Saccharomyces cerevisiae S288C: one gene and its partners. The protein of the gene in region 4 binds, or shares a complex with, the protein of the main gene of each other region. Each region holds a gene or a part of one and is shown on either strand. Other genes may lie near its edges. The genes, in order: MRPL44, RTC6, MRPL1 and MRPL22.

The links.
Region 1: MRPL22 (region 4) and MRPL44 share a complex: the UniProt entries of both Saccharomyces cerevisiae proteins name them as parts of the mitochondrial large ribosomal subunit.
Region 2: MRPL22 (region 4) and RTC6 share a complex: the UniProt entries of both Saccharomyces cerevisiae proteins name them as parts of the mitochondrial large ribosomal subunit.
Region 3: MRPL22 (region 4) and MRPL1 share a complex: the UniProt entries of both Saccharomyces cerevisiae proteins name them as parts of the mitochondrial large ribosomal subunit.

Annotation. Positions count from the first base shown.
Region 1 is NC_001145.3:720,460-725,382, forward strand, and holds MRPL44 (mitochondrial 54S ribosomal protein mL53 MRPL44), read right to left. Parts: upstream 945-4,923; coding exon 887-944; intron 740-886; coding exon 501-739; downstream 1-500. Other genes in the region: MRE11 (MRX complex nuclease subunit), read right to left, coding at 1-194; ORA1 (oxidoreductase), read right to left, coding at 1,134-1,937; TATA-binding protein-associated factor TAF7, read right to left, coding at 2,154-3,926; MTF1 (RNA polymerase specificity factor), read left to right, coding at 4,167-4,923. UniProt on the Saccharomyces cerevisiae protein: Component of the mitochondrial ribosome (mitoribosome), a dedicated translation machinery responsible for the synthesis of mitochondrial genome-encoded proteins, including at least some of the essential transmembrane subunits of the mitochondrial respiratory chain.
Region 2 is NC_001148.4:196,564-201,171, reverse strand, and holds RTC6 (mitochondrial 54S ribosomal protein bL36m RTC6), read right to left. Parts: upstream 2,078-4,608; coding exon 1,796-2,077; downstream 1-1,795. Other genes in the region: tRNA (34-2'-O)-methyltransferase regulator RTT10, read left to right, coding at 1-1,677; MRN1 (Mrn1p), read left to right, coding at 3,384-4,608. UniProt on the Saccharomyces cerevisiae protein: Component of the mitochondrial ribosome (mitoribosome), a dedicated translation machinery responsible for the synthesis of mitochondrial genome-encoded proteins, including at least some of the essential transmembrane subunits of the mitochondrial respiratory chain.
Region 3 is NC_001136.10:680,040-685,601, forward strand, and holds MRPL1 (mitochondrial 54S ribosomal protein uL1m MRPL1), read right to left. Parts: upstream 3,543-5,562; coding exon 2,685-3,542; downstream 1-2,684. Other genes in the region: PDS1 (securin), read right to left, coding at 457-1,578; YDR114C (uncharacterized protein), read right to left, coding at 1,885-2,187; mitochondrial 54S ribosomal protein bL34m MRX14, read left to right, coding at 2,136-2,453; TMA64 (Tma64p), read right to left, coding at 3,907-5,562. UniProt on the Saccharomyces cerevisiae protein: Component of the mitochondrial ribosome (mitoribosome), a dedicated translation machinery responsible for the synthesis of mitochondrial genome-encoded proteins, including at least some of the essential transmembrane subunits of the mitochondrial respiratory chain.
Region 4 is NC_001146.8:302,443-307,754, forward strand, and holds MRPL22 (mitochondrial 54S ribosomal protein uL22m MRPL22), read right to left. Parts: upstream 2,174-5,312; coding exon 1,244-2,173; downstream 1-1,243. Other genes in the region: 40S ribosomal protein uS3 RPS3, read left to right, coding at 238-960; TDA7 (Tda7p), read right to left, coding at 2,628-4,538; NOP13 (Nop13p), read right to left, coding at 4,959-5,312. UniProt on the Saccharomyces cerevisiae protein: Component of the mitochondrial ribosome (mitoribosome), a dedicated translation machinery responsible for the synthesis of mitochondrial genome-encoded proteins, including at least some of the essential transmembrane subunits of the mitochondrial respiratory chain.

The DNA of each region.
Region 1 (4,923 bases), on a different chromosome or scaffold from region 4:
TTGGAAGGCTTATTCACGTGAAAAAGATCACCGGACTGTACAACCATGTCTACGTTGTTATTTTTGGCCAGCATCATGACTTCATGGAAAGTTTTCCAAGAATCATCGCCAGTAATGGGATCATTTTCGTTGTAACCCACATGATTATCTGTAGTAATTAAAATCCTTATTGTGTCTGGATCAGGATAGTCCATAGTCGAGTTTTATCGGATCTGAGCAGGTACAACTTGCGTCAATTGTCTGCATTCTCTTAATGTTGTTTCCACATTGTCTTCCTTACAAGCGTAAAGAGTAATTTAATATGGCTATAATGTTTGGGTTCTATTCGATTGGCCATACTATTTAAACCTTAAGTCAGTTTGGTTGGGTATATCTATCTATACGTTTGTGTAATTGCATATATATTATTTACAGGCTTGCTTGTGAACTCTGACTTTGTTTTTGTTAGAATATTAGAAACGTGCATGCCTACAATGAGATTTGTAGATGCCTTTATTTTCTCAATGCATTTCCAACATATGTTTGAGATCCAGCTGTTTCGAGTGACGGTCGAAATGATTGGCTAATTCCTGAAAGTTCATGTTTGATGGATCGACTTCCATTTCTTTTTTGTCCTTGTAGGTTACTTTCACAAGAGGCTTGACTTTATTGTAATCTGAGATAATTTCCGATTGAATCTGCGTGCCCATGTTTCGTTGCGTTGGTGGAATGGCAGCAAGTACTAACCTAGCAACTTTCGCTGAAATCAATGATATGACCATATCATTTGCTGTTAGTATTTGTGATAGATCGGTTCGAGCCTACCTCAGCCTAGTTTAGCCAAATCTTTAAATCATGATGGCCAAAGGTAAGGAGAACGAATAACAGAGCGAAAAAAAATACATACCTTCCTTGCCAAAGGGATTAAACCTGACAATTACCTTACTGAAGTATTTAGTTATCATGGCGAAGATATAATTAAGCTCGTTTCTTCTTCACATCTGTTCATCCTCTATTTGAGGATCCATAAGTTTATCTCTTTTATTTCGCCGGTATATTCCGTAGAATCGCGCAAAACGGTTCAGGGAAGAATGAAATAGCTAAAAAGTCTTACATGTATAAAAAGTATACAGATTTACTTAGTTTAGCTAGGTTTATCCACGGAAGATATGATGAGGTGACGCTTGGTTTGTTGGAAAGATTAAAGTGTCTGCAATTACAGTATTTTGTTTTCTGGAAGTTGCATAGACGATCAGATCAGCCACGTCATCAGCCATCAATGGGGTAGTATCCTTGTAAACATTCTTGGCTTGTTCCTCGTTACCTCTGTATCTAACTAGTGAAAATTCAGTCTCGACTAGCCCTGGTGCAATTAGAATGACTCTAATTTTAGTGTTGATGAGCTCCTTTCTCAAACTATCAGTGAACGCCCCCACGGCAAACTTAGAGGCACAATAGATAGAACCTGTTGGGTATGCGTCTCTGCCAGCGATTGAACCCAAATTTACAATATCTCCTGAATTCTTGGCTTGGAATATGGGCAGTACAGCTTGTGTGATATTGATTAAAGCCGTGACGTTGGTGTCAAACACGTCCTGGATATCCTCCGTTGCGATCTGGCCCACACGGTCACTGCCAAGAGCCTTTCCGGCATTGTTCACCAGAATGTCAATATCCTTGAACTCTTGTGGCAAGTTTTCAATGAAGGGCTTGATTTTTTCTGCTTGAGTGATATCCAGCTGGGCCACATGAACTTTTGCGTTTGGAAACTCTTGATCAATGGTCTTCTTCAATTCCTCGAGCTTTTCTAATCTTCTAGCAGCCAAGATCAGTTTCATATCACCATTGGATGCCTCCAAGTACTCTAATGCGGTCGCCTTACCAATACCAGCAGATGCACCTGTAATGAGGACAGTCTTCTTAGCCAATCTTTCTGCAGCTTTTCTACCTTGGGACATTATCAAAATACGTTCTCAATGTTCTATTTCCCGCCTTTACTAGTGAGCTTGAACACTTTCTATGCGCCATGCTGTTTCATCTATCCTCCTTTCTTCAGCTTTTTATATCGCTCCGATAAGAAAAATCGGTGTCGTGCCTTAATATATATCAATGCTATACGTCATAGAGTAGAGTCGTATAGTGTATAAGAGTAATATATAGATGATAAAGAGAACTTACTCATCACCCTCTGCACCAAATAGCATCATCATATCGAGATCGTTCTGGTCGAGTGTTTCCTCTGCGGGGGCTTCATCAAGTTCGCGCACCACCTTGTTCTCTTGTATGTGTTCCCGTTCATGCACATTATCCTCGTCCTCATCGTTTTCTTCGTCATCCTCCTCGTCTTCGTCCACTTCATCCTCTTCCTCTTCTTCTTCCTCTTCCTCTTCTTCTTCCTCGACGTTATTTGCAGTTTCTGCGTCAGAGCGATGTTGATGTTGTTTCTGGACAGAATCTTCGGTTTGTTGTAACTGCTTACGTTTTAGTTCAGCCTCCTTCTCGAGCTTTTTAATGCTATCTATGAACCTGCTTTTCAAAAGAGGATTCGTGGCTTTACTTAATTTATGCTTGGTATGGGCCAGGGTGGTCTCTAGTTCGTTCAATTCGTCCGCAAGTAATTCAGTGTGCTGTCTGTTTTCGTCTTTTTCGTCATCAGATTCACTTTCCCCACCAGCAGCTTCAATGTCACCGTCGTCATCATCGTCATCATCTTCTCCGCCTGTGTCTTGATCCACCTCATCACCGACTTCCTCTTGTTGTTGCTCCTTGTCTCCCTCGGCACCGCTACCTTCCTCTTCACTTTCAAAAGCAGCGCCTAGGTCAAGATCCTCCTCTTCTTCTTCTTCCATTCCTTCTTCTCCCTCTTCTTCTGCACCTTGTTTTCCTACTGCCGAAGCAATTGTGTGTATCTCTTCTTTCTTTAAAGCAGGTCTAGATAAAGGCTCTCCAGGCTCCTCTTTGAAATTTTCCCAACTAGAAACACGCTCTTGCCTCGCTTGCAGTTCACTTTTATCAACCAGATCATAGCTGACCTCTTCTGCCTGTTTATCTTGCTTCAAAAGCATATCAACCACTTTTTCTACATAGTCTATTTCATTAGGGTCCATTTTCCGTCTAAATCGTCTATTTCGAACATTGTACAAAGGTGGTGATATTCCATGTTTGTAGTCATAGCCCTTCAAAGCTATTTCTTTCAAATGTTTAGCCTCCATATCACTTAAAGGCGCACCATTGTATCCTTTTAAGAAGGTTTCTTTATTCTCCCAAATTTCATCCTCTATGCCTTCAAAATGCTTAACAACCAGATCTTCTGTATCAGGGGCTTCTAGGGCATATACTTCTTCCTCTTCTTGTATAGGTCTTATGCATAGTAGCATTTGTGATACGTCAAATGTCTTCAGGAGGTTTTTTCTATCGACGCTCTTGTTCACTTCTATAACTGTAGGCAAATCTACTAGAATGGCACCATACATTACATCGTTTATTGTTACGACAGCGTGTCTCTCGTTTTTCCACTTGATACTTATCCCAGAATAATCACCTGATTCTAACGAATTTTTTACAAACTCTAACTGTATGTCTGGAAGTATCCTTAATATCACACCACTCTCTATGAGAGGGTCATCTTCAATATCAGAGGCTTCTGAGTCGTACGCTTCCCCAGGAATTCTAATAGGTTTGAGACGTAGCTTTGGCGCCTTGTGTATCTTCTTAACTGGTTCTTCATTTTTTTTCAAGTTTAACTTTAACTTCAATGAATTCTTCTTCTCTTTGCCGTCAGCACTCTCTTTCTTTTTCTTTAGGTTTATCTTTAATTTAGGCTTTGGTTTGATATCTTCATCAGTTACCTTTGTCTTTATGCGAATTCTCTTTAGTTTAGGCTCGCCTTCTAATGGTTGATCCTTCTCTCCTGGTCCTCTGGGTTTTTTAATTCTTATAACAGCCATATTTACGTCGATTATTGCGACTAATTTGAATGGTAACACTGTCTCTTGTTTATGTAGTTCTTCCTATTCTTCTCGCTTTTATTATTTTTGCTAGCAAGTTTTGTCTTGAAATTTTATTTACTGTTCTCATCGGCCGAATAACAGCGATATTATTGTATGATGATAATAGAGATGAAACTTTACAAATGCGGTTACTACGTCAGTCAATACCATTCTTTGAAGTAAGAAGGCTCAGCAACTATGTCTGTTCCAATCCCTGGTATTAAAGATATCTCCAAACTTAAGTTCTTTTATGGTTTCAAATATTTATGGAATCCAACAGTATACAATAAAATCTTTGATAAGCTGGATTTAACTAAAACGTATAAACATCCAGAAGAATTGAAAGTACTTGACCTCTACCCTGGTGTTGGTATACAATCAGCTATTTTTTATAATAAATATTGCCCCAGGCAATATTCTTTATTAGAAAAACGCTCAAGTCTCTACAAGTTTCTGAATGCAAAATTCGAAGGGTCTCCATTGCAAATTCTAAAAAGAGATCCATATGACTGGTCAACCTACTCGAATCTAATTGACGAAGAGCGAATATTTGTTCCTGAAGTTCAATCCTCAGATCATATTAATGATAAATTTCTAACCGTTGCTAATGTGACGGGGGAGGGTTCTGAAGGTCTTATAATGCAGTGGCTGTCCTGTATTGGAAACAAGAACTGGTTGTATAGGTTTGGTAAAGTAAAGATGTTATTATGGATGCCAAGCACAACAGCTAGAAAACTTCTAGCTAGGCCAGGCATGCATTCTAGATCCAAATGTTCAGTAGTAAGGGAGGCATTTACAGATACTAAACTCATTGCCATATCAGACGCAAATGAATTGAAGGGATTTGATAGTCAATGCATAGAAGAATGGGATCCCATTTTATTTAGTGCTGCGGAAATATGGCCTACAAAGGGAAAGCCAATTGCGTTAGTAGAAATGGACCCAATTGACTTCG
Region 2 (4,608 bases), on a different chromosome or scaffold from region 4:
TTAAAAATTAAAAGCAAGCACTGTTTCAATAAGCCGGAAAATTTTTCTTCCTCATGTTTGACCTCCTTCCGAAATCATATTTTAGTCGGCTCACGTTTTAGTACATTAGTAATCTACAACTTACTTGATGAGAGCGAGGAGCCCTTCATAATTAGGAGATTAAGTCCCGGAGACACTACAACCTCAATCGAATTTGTAGAAGATAAAGACAACTCTGCGGTCTTCTCAGTAACAAATAGGGATGGCTATTATGTATTTATTGAGTTGACGAAAAACAGTTTGGAAGAGGGTCCCTACCGACTAAGTTATAAGGTCTTGCATTCTAATAAGATGATGAAAGGTTTCTTGGAGGGCGCTTTCTTTAATTCAAAAGGTGAATACATTACTTATGGGTTCAAGTCCAGCTTGTTTTATCTCTACAATGAAACCAACTGTTATGAACTAGCTAGTGAAGTTTGTGGTGGTTCCCATCGTCTGTGGAATCTCGCAAAAATTACTGATGGCCACGTATTAATGTATATTAAGGCATCCCGATTTCATTTAAGGAAAATTTACAACTCCATTGTGCCTGAAACTTTAGAAAATGGTGTACACGGAAGGGAAATCAGAGATATTTCAATCTGTCCTGTTTCAAATACCAACACGAATGACAATTTTAAGGATGGGCATATATTCTGTACTGCATCTGAAGATACTACAATTAAGCTGGGATATTTTAACAATAGAACAGGGAAGGTGCAGAATTTTTGGACACAAAGAAAGCATGTGTCTGGATTACAACGTTGTCAGTTTATAAATCACAAACTAATGATATCATCTTCAGCTAGAGAGGAGTTATTCTTATGGGAATTGAACGATAAGTATAATAAACGACCATATATGACCATACGACAAGCTTTACCTGTATCCACAAATAATTCTGATCTAAGGATCATGGATTTTGATGTCAAATTTATATCACAGTCAGGTGACTTCTTATTAGTTACTGTTTATTCAGATTCAACAATAAAGATTTGGCACTATAGGGAAAATCAGAATAAGTTTGACCTGATCATGCAAGGTCGTTATAAGACGTGCTGTTTATTCAACGTCGTATTTATTGCACTGAAAGAAGAGCTCCTTGTTGTCATTTCACCAACTGATGGACATTTAGTGGTTTATAATATAACCGAGTACGTACCATTTTCCGTTGATCCGATTTCTGGCGATTTGGTTGACCACAAACTGGACGCTACTATCTCAAATCTTCCCGCACCTGTAGCGCAGTTGCCGGTACATCAATCTGGTGTCAAGTCCCTAGACTATGTTGCTAATGCTACAAGAACTTCCGCCACAATTTTGACAGGGGGTGATGATAATGGTTTAGGGTTAAGCAACCTGAAATTAGATGACTCGAATAAAGTAACGTTAAAAACAAGTGACTTTATCGCTGCAGCAGCTTCTTCGACAATAACGTCCGGTATGTTGATTAATGGTGGCAAAGAAGTCATTACCACATCGGTTGATCAAGTAATACGCGCTTGGGAAATTACCGCAGGCAAGCTTTCACTGGTAGATAAAAAGCGTACCACTGTGGCGGATACAGGATCATTAGAAATCATTTCCAATGATGAAGATGCTGATTCTGAGAAAACGTTACTGATCGGAGGTGTTGGTTTATCAATTTGGAAAAAATGATACAAAAAATTAACATATACATAAAAGAATATTATAGATATGTATTATTTACAGATTTTAGAAAATGAGAATATTTTGTAAACACCCGAACGGAGAACAGCGAAGAGATTTACATCTTTCAGCCTTGACGCTGTTTGTGTTTTTTATTCGACTTGCAATAAATGTATACTCTTCCCTTTCTTCTTACCAAGTAGCAATCACTGCAGAACTTTTTGACAGATGTTCTGACCTTGAAACCTCTGTTAAAAACCAAAGGTCTGTTAGCTGCAACAAGAGCTGGTTGCGGAGCTGCAACAGATAGGAGGCTGGGCACTGTGCAGGCCCTTGTTATCGTTATGGGGGACGGTTTCATGTGCAAAAACATCCTTGGCATAGTTAGGCGGAGAGTCTGTAAAAACATTCTTTGAAATCCTTTCGCTTGCTGAAAAATTCTGAGATTTGTACTATGAACCGTAGCCGTTATATGCGAGTAGATCGAGGCTATATCCCAATGCCAATAGTTCCACGATTCATTCCCTTTCTATTTGGAATAAGTGCGAAGACAGAATTTTTAATTTCGGCTTGGGTGAGAGAAAAAAAAAATCATAGTTTCGTTACGCAGATAGTAAATAACTAATACATAGATAAAAGCACCACCTTCTACCGGACCGTCGTCATTCTCGGCAACACCGTTGAAGTGTTTATGACTACGCTTTTTTTATCCTCACTTTTGGAATGCCCTTGAACTATGGACCTTTCACTCCCTATTGACAAATTCAAAAGACAAAAAAGGGAAACACTTGGAAAAGGTAACTTGACGTCCAATAATACACGCCGAATGAGGGCAGACTATGTCTTTCTTCCAACTGCCGTGGCAGTTGCGTACTTATCATTCTTATGTTCTTACAGTGGGATTCCACCATCATGGTAACCCGGTGCTTTTTTTCCTTGTGGTACGATTTTGGCTATGAGAAGAGAAAGAAAAGACAGAAAAAAACACGATCTTGAAATTAACTTTACCAGAAAGTGGATCTTGTGGTTGTCCGAAAGTCTACAAAGAGATTCAGTCACAACCGCAATCATACTCCATCCCTTCGTCACAGCAATAAATTAATCAGTTTCTTTGCCTTTGGTGGAAAGTAAAAAAAACTAAACTTGGTTCAGCACAGCGCTATATCTACGAGAACACCGTTGCCCACTCTTATACATTATTTTCACAGAGTCACATTCCCCACTGAATTCTCTCCTTAAGCTTCCTTTCTCTGTTTATTTTACCAATTTACAATTTCTAGAACTGATAGTCTCTGTACCTTTCCTTTAGATACACATACGCTTCATTTCTTTTGAACATTGTATTCTTCTATTTTCTTCGTTCTTCCGTTATTTGATATTTGCCCCTTTTTAAGTCTTCTGACTCACCTGTTCTGCTTTACCAATTAGGCTCCTTAATTGGTTCAACTGTCCATTCCAGCCTCATATTTTTCACTTTATCTTTCTTCATCATTTTTTTTGTCTAATTAATATCCGTTTCCAACTTCAATTCTCAAGGACACTCTTTTTTTTTTTGAAAAAAAATATCATATTTTTCTTTGCTAATACTATTTTATTTTTTCAATTCTGGTCGTTGAAGCCTTTTCTATTCAGATATTTCCTAAAGAAAAACAAAGAACTATCGTTGTATTTTTTTTTTTCTTCACCATCACATACTACTTCAATTGCATTAAAACATGGTGGTTTCTTATAACAATAATAATAACAATAACAATAACAATAACAATAATAATATCAGTAATAATAATAACAATAATAACATGTTCCCTCCTTTTCCTTCTTCCGATGACTTTGCAATGTATCAACAGTCCAGTTCTTCCGGCCCTTACCAAGAAACTTATGCGAGTGGCCCTCAAAACTTTGGCGATGCTGTGTATCCTATGAATGGTAATTTTACTCTTTTACCATCCGACTTTACACGAGAGCCTAATGATTCGTTCTTTTACGAGAATGACGGAATTTTTGATTATCAGCGTATTCAACAGCAACCAACTCAATTCCAGACAAAGCAGCGAAATGATTCACAACAGCAACGGTTTTCACAGGAACAAAATTTCGAAATTGATAACGAAGTTGTCCACAATAACAATCGTTATTATGAATATGAAAGGTCATCAAATGAAGTCTCTCCTTTTGATGATGAGAATCCAAATGTGTTATCTGATGGCATGTCACCCACTATTATGGCAACTGCAACTGCAGTAACCAACGCAAATGCGCCTTTACCAGTTAATGCACAAGCCAATAATCCTTTGAATTTTACATCGGCCCCAAGTAGAACTGTTTATTTGGGTAATGTGCCACCAAACCTAAGCGTTAAAGAGTTATTGGATCATGTCAGAAGTGGTGTCGTTGAAGACGTCAAAATCATACCTGAAAAGATGTGTGCATTCGTTTCGTTTATAGATGAAAGTGCTGCACTATTGTTCCATTCAGACGCAATTTTAAAGCGCTTGAACATCGGTGACAGGGATATCAAAATCGGGTGGGGGAAACCAACTCGAATTGATCCTATTGTAGCGGCTAGAATCTCTACGGACGGTGCCACAAGAAATGTATACATTGGCCGTATGACGATTGAAGGCGAAGAATCACATTTATCTGAGGAGCAATTGAGGGTTGATTTAGAAGAATATGGTGAAATTGACTGTATAAAAATTATCAAGGAAAAGGGAATCGCCTTTATTCATTTTGCGTCTATTTTAAATGCTATAAAAGTGGTTACGAATCTGCCAATTAGAAATCCATACTATCAAAATAAGAGAATATTTTATGGAAAGGACAGATGTGCATTTATTACCAAAACTCAACAACATAATGCGGCTCAATTTCTAGGTGTACAACCTGGTATGGAACATATGATAGAGTTTTCTGATCGTGAATTTATATCTAACGCTTTGT
Region 3 (5,562 bases), on a different chromosome or scaffold from region 4:
TAAAATAAAATCGCCAAACAAGTAGGAGAAGCCTCAAGATACAAGCCGTTTCCATGGAGAAAATATTGCGAATGAGGCCAAACTTGAACTTTTTTTTTTTCTGCTAAAAAATTCAGAAAAAAAATGAAATTATTTTCTTAGGTATAATGAAGTAATTATGACGAAGTACTTTGAGAACCCATAAAGAGAAGCAATTGAAGACGTGTGGAGGACATCAGCCCGCAGCACATTAGTAGAAACAATAGTATCGTGATGTGATCCCTCTTGGACCCTTTGCCAATCAAGGGTGAAGCGAAGCCATTTAAAACGTACGAACAATGGCGGTAGTTGAGGTATGGGTGAGGCCGCAGATTAAATCCCGGCGGCAGGAGCAACCGCTTTTAACCAGAATTGTATGTTATAAAGTATCTGTATATACGTGTATATATGTTGTGTGTATGTGAATGAGCAGTGGATCTAAGTAACTAAGTCCTCTAGTTCTTCAGGATCGAGGCCTTCTTCGCTGTACACTAACTCCATGGTTGGGACGGCGGCAACTTCTTTGAAGTTCTTAGACAGCAGTGGTAACGCTGCACCTTCTTCTTGATTCCGAGTGATGCACTCAGTCTCATCTTTTTCGCCTTCTTCATCAATTTGTTCTAGTGGGAGTAAATCAACTTTATCTGGGGTGTCATCTTCGTCTTCCAAGTCAAGCTTATATGGTGAGTTGAACGTCTTCAGCTTTTCAATATCATCTTGTTGAAATGGGGAATAGCCTTCTGGTACATACGGTAACGGCTCCTGCCTCTGTGGTGCTATTTCGATATCATAGTCATCAGTTTTATCACTTTTATCGTTTTTAGTTTTTTGCTCATTCTTCGTGGAGTTCTTTATGAGTTGTTGCAGACCACCTTGCTCATTAAATAGTCCTAGGCCACCATTTAATTCATTTTCACCGTCGGAGGAATCCTGTTTTAAAAGTGCACTTTGGAGTTTTTTGCCAAGTTTACTCTCGGAATCTTCATTACCTTCATCATCGTCGGAACTCTCTTCATTTTTACCTGAATCTGCAAGATCTTTTAAAACTAGACTTTTCATTTTAGGTAAAGCATTATAACCAAGGACAGAACCGTACTTTTGTAACTTTCTTGAATTGCTTAACAAATCATTATGGTTGGCCCTACTACGACTGCGAGAAATTTGCGAAAGTTTCCTGAGTTGGTCGTTTTTGCGTATAGATAGTGTATTCTGTAGTTGTGGTAAGTCTGCATCTTTACTCTGATTAGAAGTTTCGGGAAAAATAAAGCTTTTCGATCTATTGTTGTCTTTTGCTGCCAGAGGCAATCTTCCTTGTTGTTGCGCATGGGTATGCAACCTTTTTGTGGGTGACACCTCCTTCCCTCCTTGTATGTACTTTAATGTGTTGCCATTGTTGCTGTTCGCATCCCTTTTGAGTTGGTCCAATCTTACAGGTGGTTTTAAAATATTAGAGTGCGACCTTTTCAGCAAGTGAGCCGGCGTCTGTGGAAAGTTAATGCCGGAACTTTCATTCCCTGTATATACGATATTATTCTCTTTATCTTCGTTAGCTGGCATCATAAAGGTTTATTATCTAGCACTTAATCTAGCTTGGTACCGCAGAAGTGTAATAGTATGTGAATGGGAAAAACCGCTAGCAACCGTTACTTGCCTTCGCCGAATATTGATTTAAAGCTGCATTTATTTTGTTTGTTTATTTTGTTTGTTTTTCTTTTTGACCTCTTACACGAGTTTTTTGACGCGTTTGAGATCTTTGTGTGAAAACGATAAGCAACCTACGCTAACAAATACACACGTCGCACGGAAAGTGATAGTGAAGCAGATATTTCTCGCAAATCCTATGTTATCCGTAAAATAAATCCAACCCTAAAGTATTAACATGTAACAACTTAAGCGCTTCCTTAAGACTGTATAGATATATATATATACATATATATACATAATCATGAAACGCATCGTCGAAAGGTCATTTGAAGCTCGGATCACGTGATCGAAAGCTGTAAGGAATTTGAAAAGCCAATTTTCCCGTAGAAGCTGTGAGGTACAACAAGTGAAATAACTACAGGAGAAACTCACTGAGAAACGTTGGAATAGAACAGTAGTAATCGCAGGACGGAATGCCACTATTTGCAAGGCTCTGCCAGCCTCAATCAAGAAGAATGTTTTCATCTATATCTTCTTTCTCTGCTCTATCTGTGTTACGCCCACAAACCGGTATGCTCTTAAACAGTTCACCATTGAAGACTCCGTCCTTCACACCGTTGGGATTTGGCTTAATAGGTCAAAGAAGATGGAAATCAAGGGGTAACACCTATCAACCTAGTACATTGAAACGGAAGAGAACTTTTGGTTTCTTGGCTAGGGCCAAGAGCAAACAGGGCTCTAAGATATTGAAAAGGAGGAAGCTCAAAGGTAGGTGGTTTTTGTCTCATTGAAATTTCACATACTATTCAGATAAATTTGAATACTTCTTGTACATAGGTATCTAATGATTATGCAACATACACTTTCACTATTATTCAAAAATAAAAGAGCAGTTACTTTATTCCACTTTAAAAAGACGGTTACTTTGTATGTACATGATTTTATATAAAAAGAAAGAAAATGCACCAGTATATATATATATACAATTAAAAAAGTCCAACAAGACAAAACTGATTCGCTGATTAAGCAAAATCGATTACAATACCGGGGCCATGTGTGCTTGATAATGTGGTTTTACTCAGTATATTTGGTTTCTTAGATTTTTGATTATCAACAGCAGTTTTAAATGCCGCTCTAGCGGATATAATGTTTTGTAAAATTTCTCGATCAGTGAAGTAGCATTTGCCGACTCCAATGCTGATAGAGTTTCCCCTTTGCCTGAAAGGCATAGATCCTAGACTTTCTTGAAGTAAGGAGCTTATATCATCACTCACCGTACCTTTTTTGACAGAGGGTAAAACCCCACGAGGACCAAGTATCCTGGCCACCTGCGATTGTAAAGCTGGAACAATATCAGGAGTTGCAAATGCTTTGTCAAAATCAACGCTAATTTCACCGCTTTTAATTTTGGCAACAAGATCTGCTCCGCCAATCAAATGATTTGGGTATTTCTCACGAAGCTCTTCCAATTTACTTTCGTCGTTGGTAAAGGCAGCAATTTTGATATATCTCAAAGGCTTAGGAAATGTCACGCTACCGGATAAAGGCGCTGTACCTCTTTCACCGACTACCAATGTAGTCAAATTAATTGTCTGTTGCGATTGCGGTCTGCCAACTTCTGCTGCGCGTAAATATCTTAGTGCCTTTGTAACAGGCATGTACAATGGGCTTGCTGTAGCTGGTCTCTTTGCCTCGGCCTTTCGTTGTACCAATCTTTTCAACTCTCTTTTTTTGGCTTGGTCTTTTGTTAGCGAAGGTGCATTGGAGGACATAGCTGCTGGTTTATAGTCATCTGCGTATAGTTTTTTTGCAGTATGAAAAAAGCATCTTCTTGCAGGACCTGTGACACATATTTTCGGGATCGCTACTACGGATAGCATCTTCTTTGATGACTTATCACTGTTTAGTTTTCTTCAAATTCCCTTTATTTCAGGTCGTTTTTCAAAATACTTTGGTTTTTCGAAAGTTTTCTCTTTTCGCTTAAAAAGGAGATTTTGTCGCTAGTCTCATAATGTAAGTTACACTAAAAAATAGAGAATAGTAAAGATGAACTGGATATACAAATATAGTATATTTTTACCGCTGTTGAAAACATTTCGTTCCCTCCCATGATACATTCATATTTTTTGTGGGTTTCAAGACTACCATAATACCTACTTTAGAAAAGCTTCGATTAGGTAAAAAAGTTCTATATGCTTTGATGTCGGGCATTTTTACGCATTTAAACATTTATATGATATAAATCTACTTTCTTTTTTTCTTCTTCAACTTGTTCTCAAAGTCTATCCATTTGCTTGGAATACCTAGCTTGTTAAGGTGATCAATGATCGATTGACCGTGTGGACCTTGAACCTGCACTTCAGCACATTTGAATGTTTGTGATTCACTTATTGTTGTCGATCCGCTACAAATCTTTCTTAAGTCAGCCGCAAGTGATTCTGGGTCGACTTGAAACACTTCAAAATTGCTCACTCTGGTAATAACTTTTCTGCCAATTTTCATTTCAGTAATAATCTTAATATGCGGAAGGGAACCCTTCATTGGCGCCTTGAACAAGAGAGTATCATCGCTTTTGAATATCTGATAGAACTCGGTAAAATTATTGGTGAGTAAGGGATGCAAAATTTCACCTCTAGCAATGATACGTGAAGCATTCAAGACTTTCTTCTTCTTATTGACCATATCGAATAATAGATCGTCCATAATAACTTTTCCTTTATCTTTTGTGTCTGCTAGGTTCTTGACAGAAATATACTGAGAAACCGCGCTTCTAATGTCCTGAGAGGTGTAGTACGTGTGAGAAGCCAAATTAACCTCCTTCAAAAGATCTTTGGCAAGATTAAAGGGTTTATACAGAGTCAGTGAATACATCATTCCAGATGTTTTCTCCTTCGAGGTTGTGCTCTCCCTACTTTCTGTGGCAGACTTGCTACAACCAAGCTTATATGGCACAAAGTTCTTTAACTCATCCTTGTCAGTATTTTTGCCCACAATAGTTAAGTCATCCCCCTTTCCTTTTAATTTCAAGAAGCCTTCTTTCTCGAAGTGTTTCAAAAATTTTGCGCTTTTTTTCCATGAAGTTTTCTTTACATTGACTTCATTGTGATCAATTGGAGGCAAATTACGCATAATGTGGTTTGAGATGAAGTTAGAAGCTGAAATGGGTAATTCCAAACCTTTATCTTGAGTCAAGGTATAATATAATGCTCTTGTAATGAAATAATCTACATCCGACACAGTGAAATGGTCTAGAACTTCAGCAATCTCCTCTACATCAACAGACGCTTCTTTTACATCTTCTTGTTCCTTTTCAACAGCCTTGATTTGCTCCGAGGATTCTATCTGTTTACTACTGATATTGTTATCCTTTGATTGAGTACTGAGAACAAATGGAGGTTCCAATTTCATTTTAAAGACTTTGGAGAGCCCATCATTGAAATGATGTATGATTTTGACAGCAACTCCTGTTTCACCAATTACTTTATCAAAGGACGGTAGATCTAATTCGACAATACCGATGGCTAAGACAGTTTCTGGTGCCTGTTTGCTAGCTATACCACAAAGAGTACCTATTTTACAACGAGGATCAAAGGGTGGGATCGAACCGGAAATCATTAAGTTAGCGCCGTTGAATAAATGTTCTTCTATAACAAATCCATGAGTTAAAACGATCGGCAATAACGCAGGATATTCCCAACAAGAATACACAGTTGGAAAAAGTTGCTCCTTATGCTTTTCCTTGAATAATATTGGGGTATTATTCTCATCTGTGTAAACCGTTCCTACACTTTTCTGGCCGTTAAAGTTGGTTTGTTTTATAGTGGAAGTACGAAAGCTATATTCCTCATTATTCGTTTGTTTTTGGAATGTTTGTAGCAACTTCTTTCTTTCGGAATTCTT
Region 4 (5,312 bases):
ATATTCTTGCTGTAAAGTTTGTTTTTTTTATGAAAAAAACATTTTCTTTTCTTGAGATGAGGCGCCGCGAGCCTTTCTCCCATGGGCAGTGGTAAATTTTCCAAATCAATGCAGCTCTTTGAAATACAACAGCATTTTTCATACATTTTAAGCAATTTCTAGTTTGTAGATATTGTTAGATTAGTTTTTGAACATTGTTTTGATAACTGAAAATAAAACAGCAAACAAACTACAAAAATGGTCGCTTTAATCTCTAAGAAAAGAAAGCTAGTCGCTGACGGTGTCTTCTACGCTGAATTGAACGAATTCTTCACCAGAGAATTAGCTGAAGAAGGTTACTCCGGTGTTGAAGTCCGTGTCACTCCAACCAAGACCGAAGTTATCATCAGAGCTACCAGAACTCAAGATGTTTTGGGTGAAAACGGTAGAAGAATCAACGAATTAACTTTGTTGGTTCAAAAGAGATTCAAGTACGCTCCAGGTACTATTGTCTTATATGCTGAAAGAGTTCAAGACCGTGGTTTGTCCGCTGTCGCTCAAGCTGAATCTATGAAATTCAAATTGTTGAACGGTTTGGCTATCAGAAGAGCTGCTTACGGTGTCGTCAGATACGTTATGGAATCTGGTGCTAAGGGTTGTGAAGTTGTTGTTTCCGGTAAACTAAGAGCTGCCAGAGCTAAGGCTATGAAATTTGCTGACGGTTTCTTGATTCACTCTGGTCAACCAGTCAACGACTTCATTGACACTGCTACTAGACACGTCTTGATGAGACAAGGTGTTTTGGGTATCAAGGTTAAGATTATGAGAGACCCAGCTAAGAGCAGAACTGGTCCAAAGGCTTTGCCAGATGCTGTCACCATCATTGAACCAAAAGAAGAAGAACCAATTCTTGCTCCATCTGTCAAGGACTACAGACCAGCTGAAGAAACTGAAGCTCAAGCTGAACCAGTTGAAGCTTAGATTTAATTATTAAATACATAAATAAACTATAAGTACAATAATTTCTTCTATTCTAGTGCACTTAATTGTTGCGGTTTCTTGCATATTGCCGTGTTTAGTCAGGAGGGTGCACGTTGAAGCAGTGCGTTGAAACTAGTTGTTATTTACAGAATCACAATATTATATAATCAAAAGAAAAGTTTTGTACAACACAACTGTGAATATAGGTTAAGAAGTGAGTAGCAGTTCATCTTTCTCAGCTTACAGGACGATTTCTCGGATATGAATGAGTTCGCTATCGTTTTCACCACTTGTATACGCCGCCTGTAACACCCCTAATGGGCTTATCTCCCAACTGTACCCATGGCGCTCTTTTTTGCTCTTTTAAATGTGCTTCATAAGCAAGTCTTCGTTTCGTAACACTCTTTGTTCTCAGAATACATCTGACATGTATGTAAGGATGACTTATGATTCCGATTCTTGTCCTTGCCTTGAATTCAACACGTTTTCTCCAAAACCCGTCACTCCCTGTCCAAATCTGAGAGATATATAAGTCCTCTGGTTTCAAACCTAATTTTTGGCCATCTTTTACACCTTTTTGAAGTAGTTCTGCTACTTCGCGAGCAATTTTCTTATTAGAAAAGTGACACTGAGATATAGCTTTCATAACGTCGAGGCCTCCCAATAACCTCAACAAAAGTGTAGCCTTTTTCATCGACGATTTAATTCTATATGACTGAGCATATACGGAAGGTTCTAGTACTTCAATTTCTCTTTTTGTTAACTTTAGCTTGTAACGTTCGCTAGAATTTGGTAACTTTACAATAGTATCTTTCTTGTAAAACCCACCATTAATTTTACAATTAGCTTCATATATTTCCCTTTTCAAAGGAGATAATAAGCTCTGTGATGCTAATTGTTCCGGTTGCTGCAACGATATGATATGTTGCTGTAGTAGTTTATCGTTTTCTATGGTTATTGAATCCCTATTAACTTCAGGAGCCTCTCCAGAAGAATCAGAAGCAATCGCTAACCTATTAGAGAAGCTGCCTGCATCTTCATCCCCCCTGTTTTTTCCTTCCTTTGGTTTATTTTCTGTAATGCTTCCGAATAGTGATCCTCCTGAATTATTAAGACTTATTGGCGTTACATGAATCCAACGTCTACTTACAGAAGAAAGTAGAGCCCTAGAAATGACACCGACCTGAGATATTCTTGCCGTGTGGAAGTTCATTTTCTTTAATAAAAAAGATAGGGTGAGGTGAGGTTCTCTGACTTGCTATGCGGCTCCTAATGGCGTATGTTAAAATGCCTTCCAGATTGGATAGTTGACTTTTATTCAAAATCCCGAGTACAGTGAAGGCTTAGTTACCCCGCCCACAGAAGATTAATAGAATATCATGAGTACTGTTCAAGCAGCAAGCAGGAGAAAAGACTGAAAGAGTTTCGTATAATTTAGTATTTATTTATTTAGGAGAACTAAAATATTTTCTTTATACACAAAGAACAAAGTTTTCTTTTTTTTTCATTGCAGAATGGTATCATTGTTTTTTATGCCTTTTAAAAGGCCTTGTCGTTCTTCACTATTGGCAATAAAGATGTTTTTATGATTTTTAATAGTAGTGTTATTCAGCAAGAGCTGATTTTGCTTAATTAGTAAACATCATACTAATAGACTGAAGTCATCGTCATATAATTTCCCTCAAGAACCCTTGTGAATTGTTCTGAACTGTATTTCTCTCATCATGAGAGATGTCATTATCTAAACCACGTCCGAGTCGTATCGAATTTGAAGATAAAGTAGAAAAGCCACCTTGAGTAGATGAACCCAATGACGAATATGTAAATGAAGAGCCATAGGAAAATCTGTTTTCCTGGTCCATGAAATTACTCCGCATATTTTGAAAGGAGCCATTCATTGCGGTAACATTCCTTGGTGGTGGCACTGGAGGAGGATTTCCTCTTGCCTTAAAATTGAATTCGTTGCTGAACGGATTATTAGCAGAAGCAGTCTCGGTGTTTCGTTGCTGTGATCCCGAGTCTTGAGCTTGAAGTGACGCCTCTTTTGCTTGGGCAGTTGTTGGGAATCCCGTTCTGCGCCCAATCTCGTGACAGAAGGAATCGTTTTCCTTGAAATGCCTCTTTGCCTTCCTTTTTCTAACCAGCATGAACCAAACTACTAGTACACATATAAGAATACCACCGACGCTTCCTACCACACTTCCAACAATGGTACCAGTATTTGTCTTTGAAGTGCCTTGGTTTTTGTTATTATCCAAACTGCCATCAAGCCAGTGCTGATAGAAAGACATGTCAGCTGTGATCGTCGAAGATGGAGCGGAAAATGAGGTTACCTCACTTTTTGCAACTGCTATGGTCGTAGGTAATCCCGTCACGAACGTTGTAGAGGAGTCAGTAATATCATATGTTTGGGTATAGAAATAATAAATAGTTTTTGAATCTTCGGAGCTTGAAATGGCTACCGTATTGAAGACCTGACTGGATGTTGGTATGGGAGACGTAGAAATCGTACTAGTGCTGGGTGTTTGAGTGGTGGGTGGTATACTGCTGCTAGTAGTAGATTGTAAGGACTGAAAAGTATACGTGCTTGAGTAAGCACTTGTTGTATCATCTGATGATGATGATGATGAAGGACGGTTTGAAGGTACTTTACTGCTGGATGAGCTAACAGAACTTGACGTTGGCACGGAAATCGTGCTTATGGAAACTGTCGAAGATGAAGCTGATGGACTGAGTTTCGATGATTTGCTTATGGTTGAAAAATCGTTCGTCGATGAAAGCGATGAACTGTAAAACGATGTGGAAGTATTCCGACTGGAACTTGGGAATGTGGTATCTTTATTTGATATCGTAGAAGGAGAAGAAATTGTTGAGAACCAACTAGAAGAGAGTTCTGAAGTGGTACTAATTTGAAATGAAGTTGCAGATATGGAAGACAAGTATGTGTAACTAGGGGATATTACGGTGGGTGTTGATGGTGAGAAAATAGAAGATCTGCTGTCGAACGAAAACAATTTAGTGTCTGAATATGATGAAGATAGTGATAATGACAACGAGGACGATACCAGTAACGAAGATGGTGATGATAACGACGACCATGATGATGACAGCGATGTAGCTGATGACGATAACGTTGGTGTTGTTGATGTTAACGATGACCATTCCGACGTTATTGACGACGATGATGACATTGGTGACGTCGATGAGAAAATGGACATGGATGGTGTAATTATTGAGTATGAGGAGGTAGCTGGGTCATATTGGGAACTATACGTATCTTGCTCGCTCGATGAACTGCTGTCGGTAGATGATACTAAAGTACTTGTCGAAGATACATCAATGGATGTATGCAAAGTCTCATCATATGTTAAGCTTGTAGAATAATATGTAGGAGTAGCTGTACTAGACACGGGCGGTAATGAGGTCAGACTTCCTTGTTGGGGTACTAAAGTTGAAGTAGATGCGAAGACAACATCCGTTGATCGTGAATTCAGACTGCTACTTGGTTCACTGAATGACAGGGATATCGTATCAGATTCTCCAAGGGTGGTCCTTCCGATGGTACTATTGGAGTTCATACGATGGCCAAAATAATTACTCTATCCAGCTTTTCTTTTAGATTTCCTTCAGATATCGACGGATGGGGATTGAAATACTAAATGTGTGTCTTAAGCGAAAGTGTGCCAACAACCAGTCCAAAAAACGGATCAGTAGTGTTTCGGTACCTGGTGAGTAGTTTAGGATTTTATGAGTGTACGGCGATTATCAGTGTATTACTAATATGCGAACCGCTCCTAAAGATCTTGTTTACCTCATTTCTTTCTTCTTTTTTTTTTTTTTTTCCGTGCGTTCTCCCCGTGCCTTGATAAGCAATAATGGAAAAAATAAAAATAGCAGCAATTGGTTATACAATGTATATATAAAACATGAATGATTGAATAATTTACAAGCGAAATAATCGCATTATATACGTGGCACCTACAGTCAGTTCACGCTGATTAGTCAAACTTCACTTTCTTACCTTGTGATGGGACAATAGCTGCAGAACCTCTCTGAGCAGTGGCTAAAGCTACACTGCTCTTAGTTCGGTTATTGGAATCTACAGGTGGACGTCTGTTGGCGTTGGACCGCTTGTATTCGGGTTTGCTGCCGTTATCCTGTCCCGCACGATCGTATCCTTTGTTGTTAGAGATATCAAATGATGAGGAATTGTTTCTGGATACATTTTCAACCTTCTTACGAACTTGTCTTTTACTTCTATCTTCACCGTATTCCATTCGCAATGGCCTTCCGGCAATTTTTCTACAACTTTTATCCTTTAATGCATTAGTAGATCCTTCTTCATTCTTGAA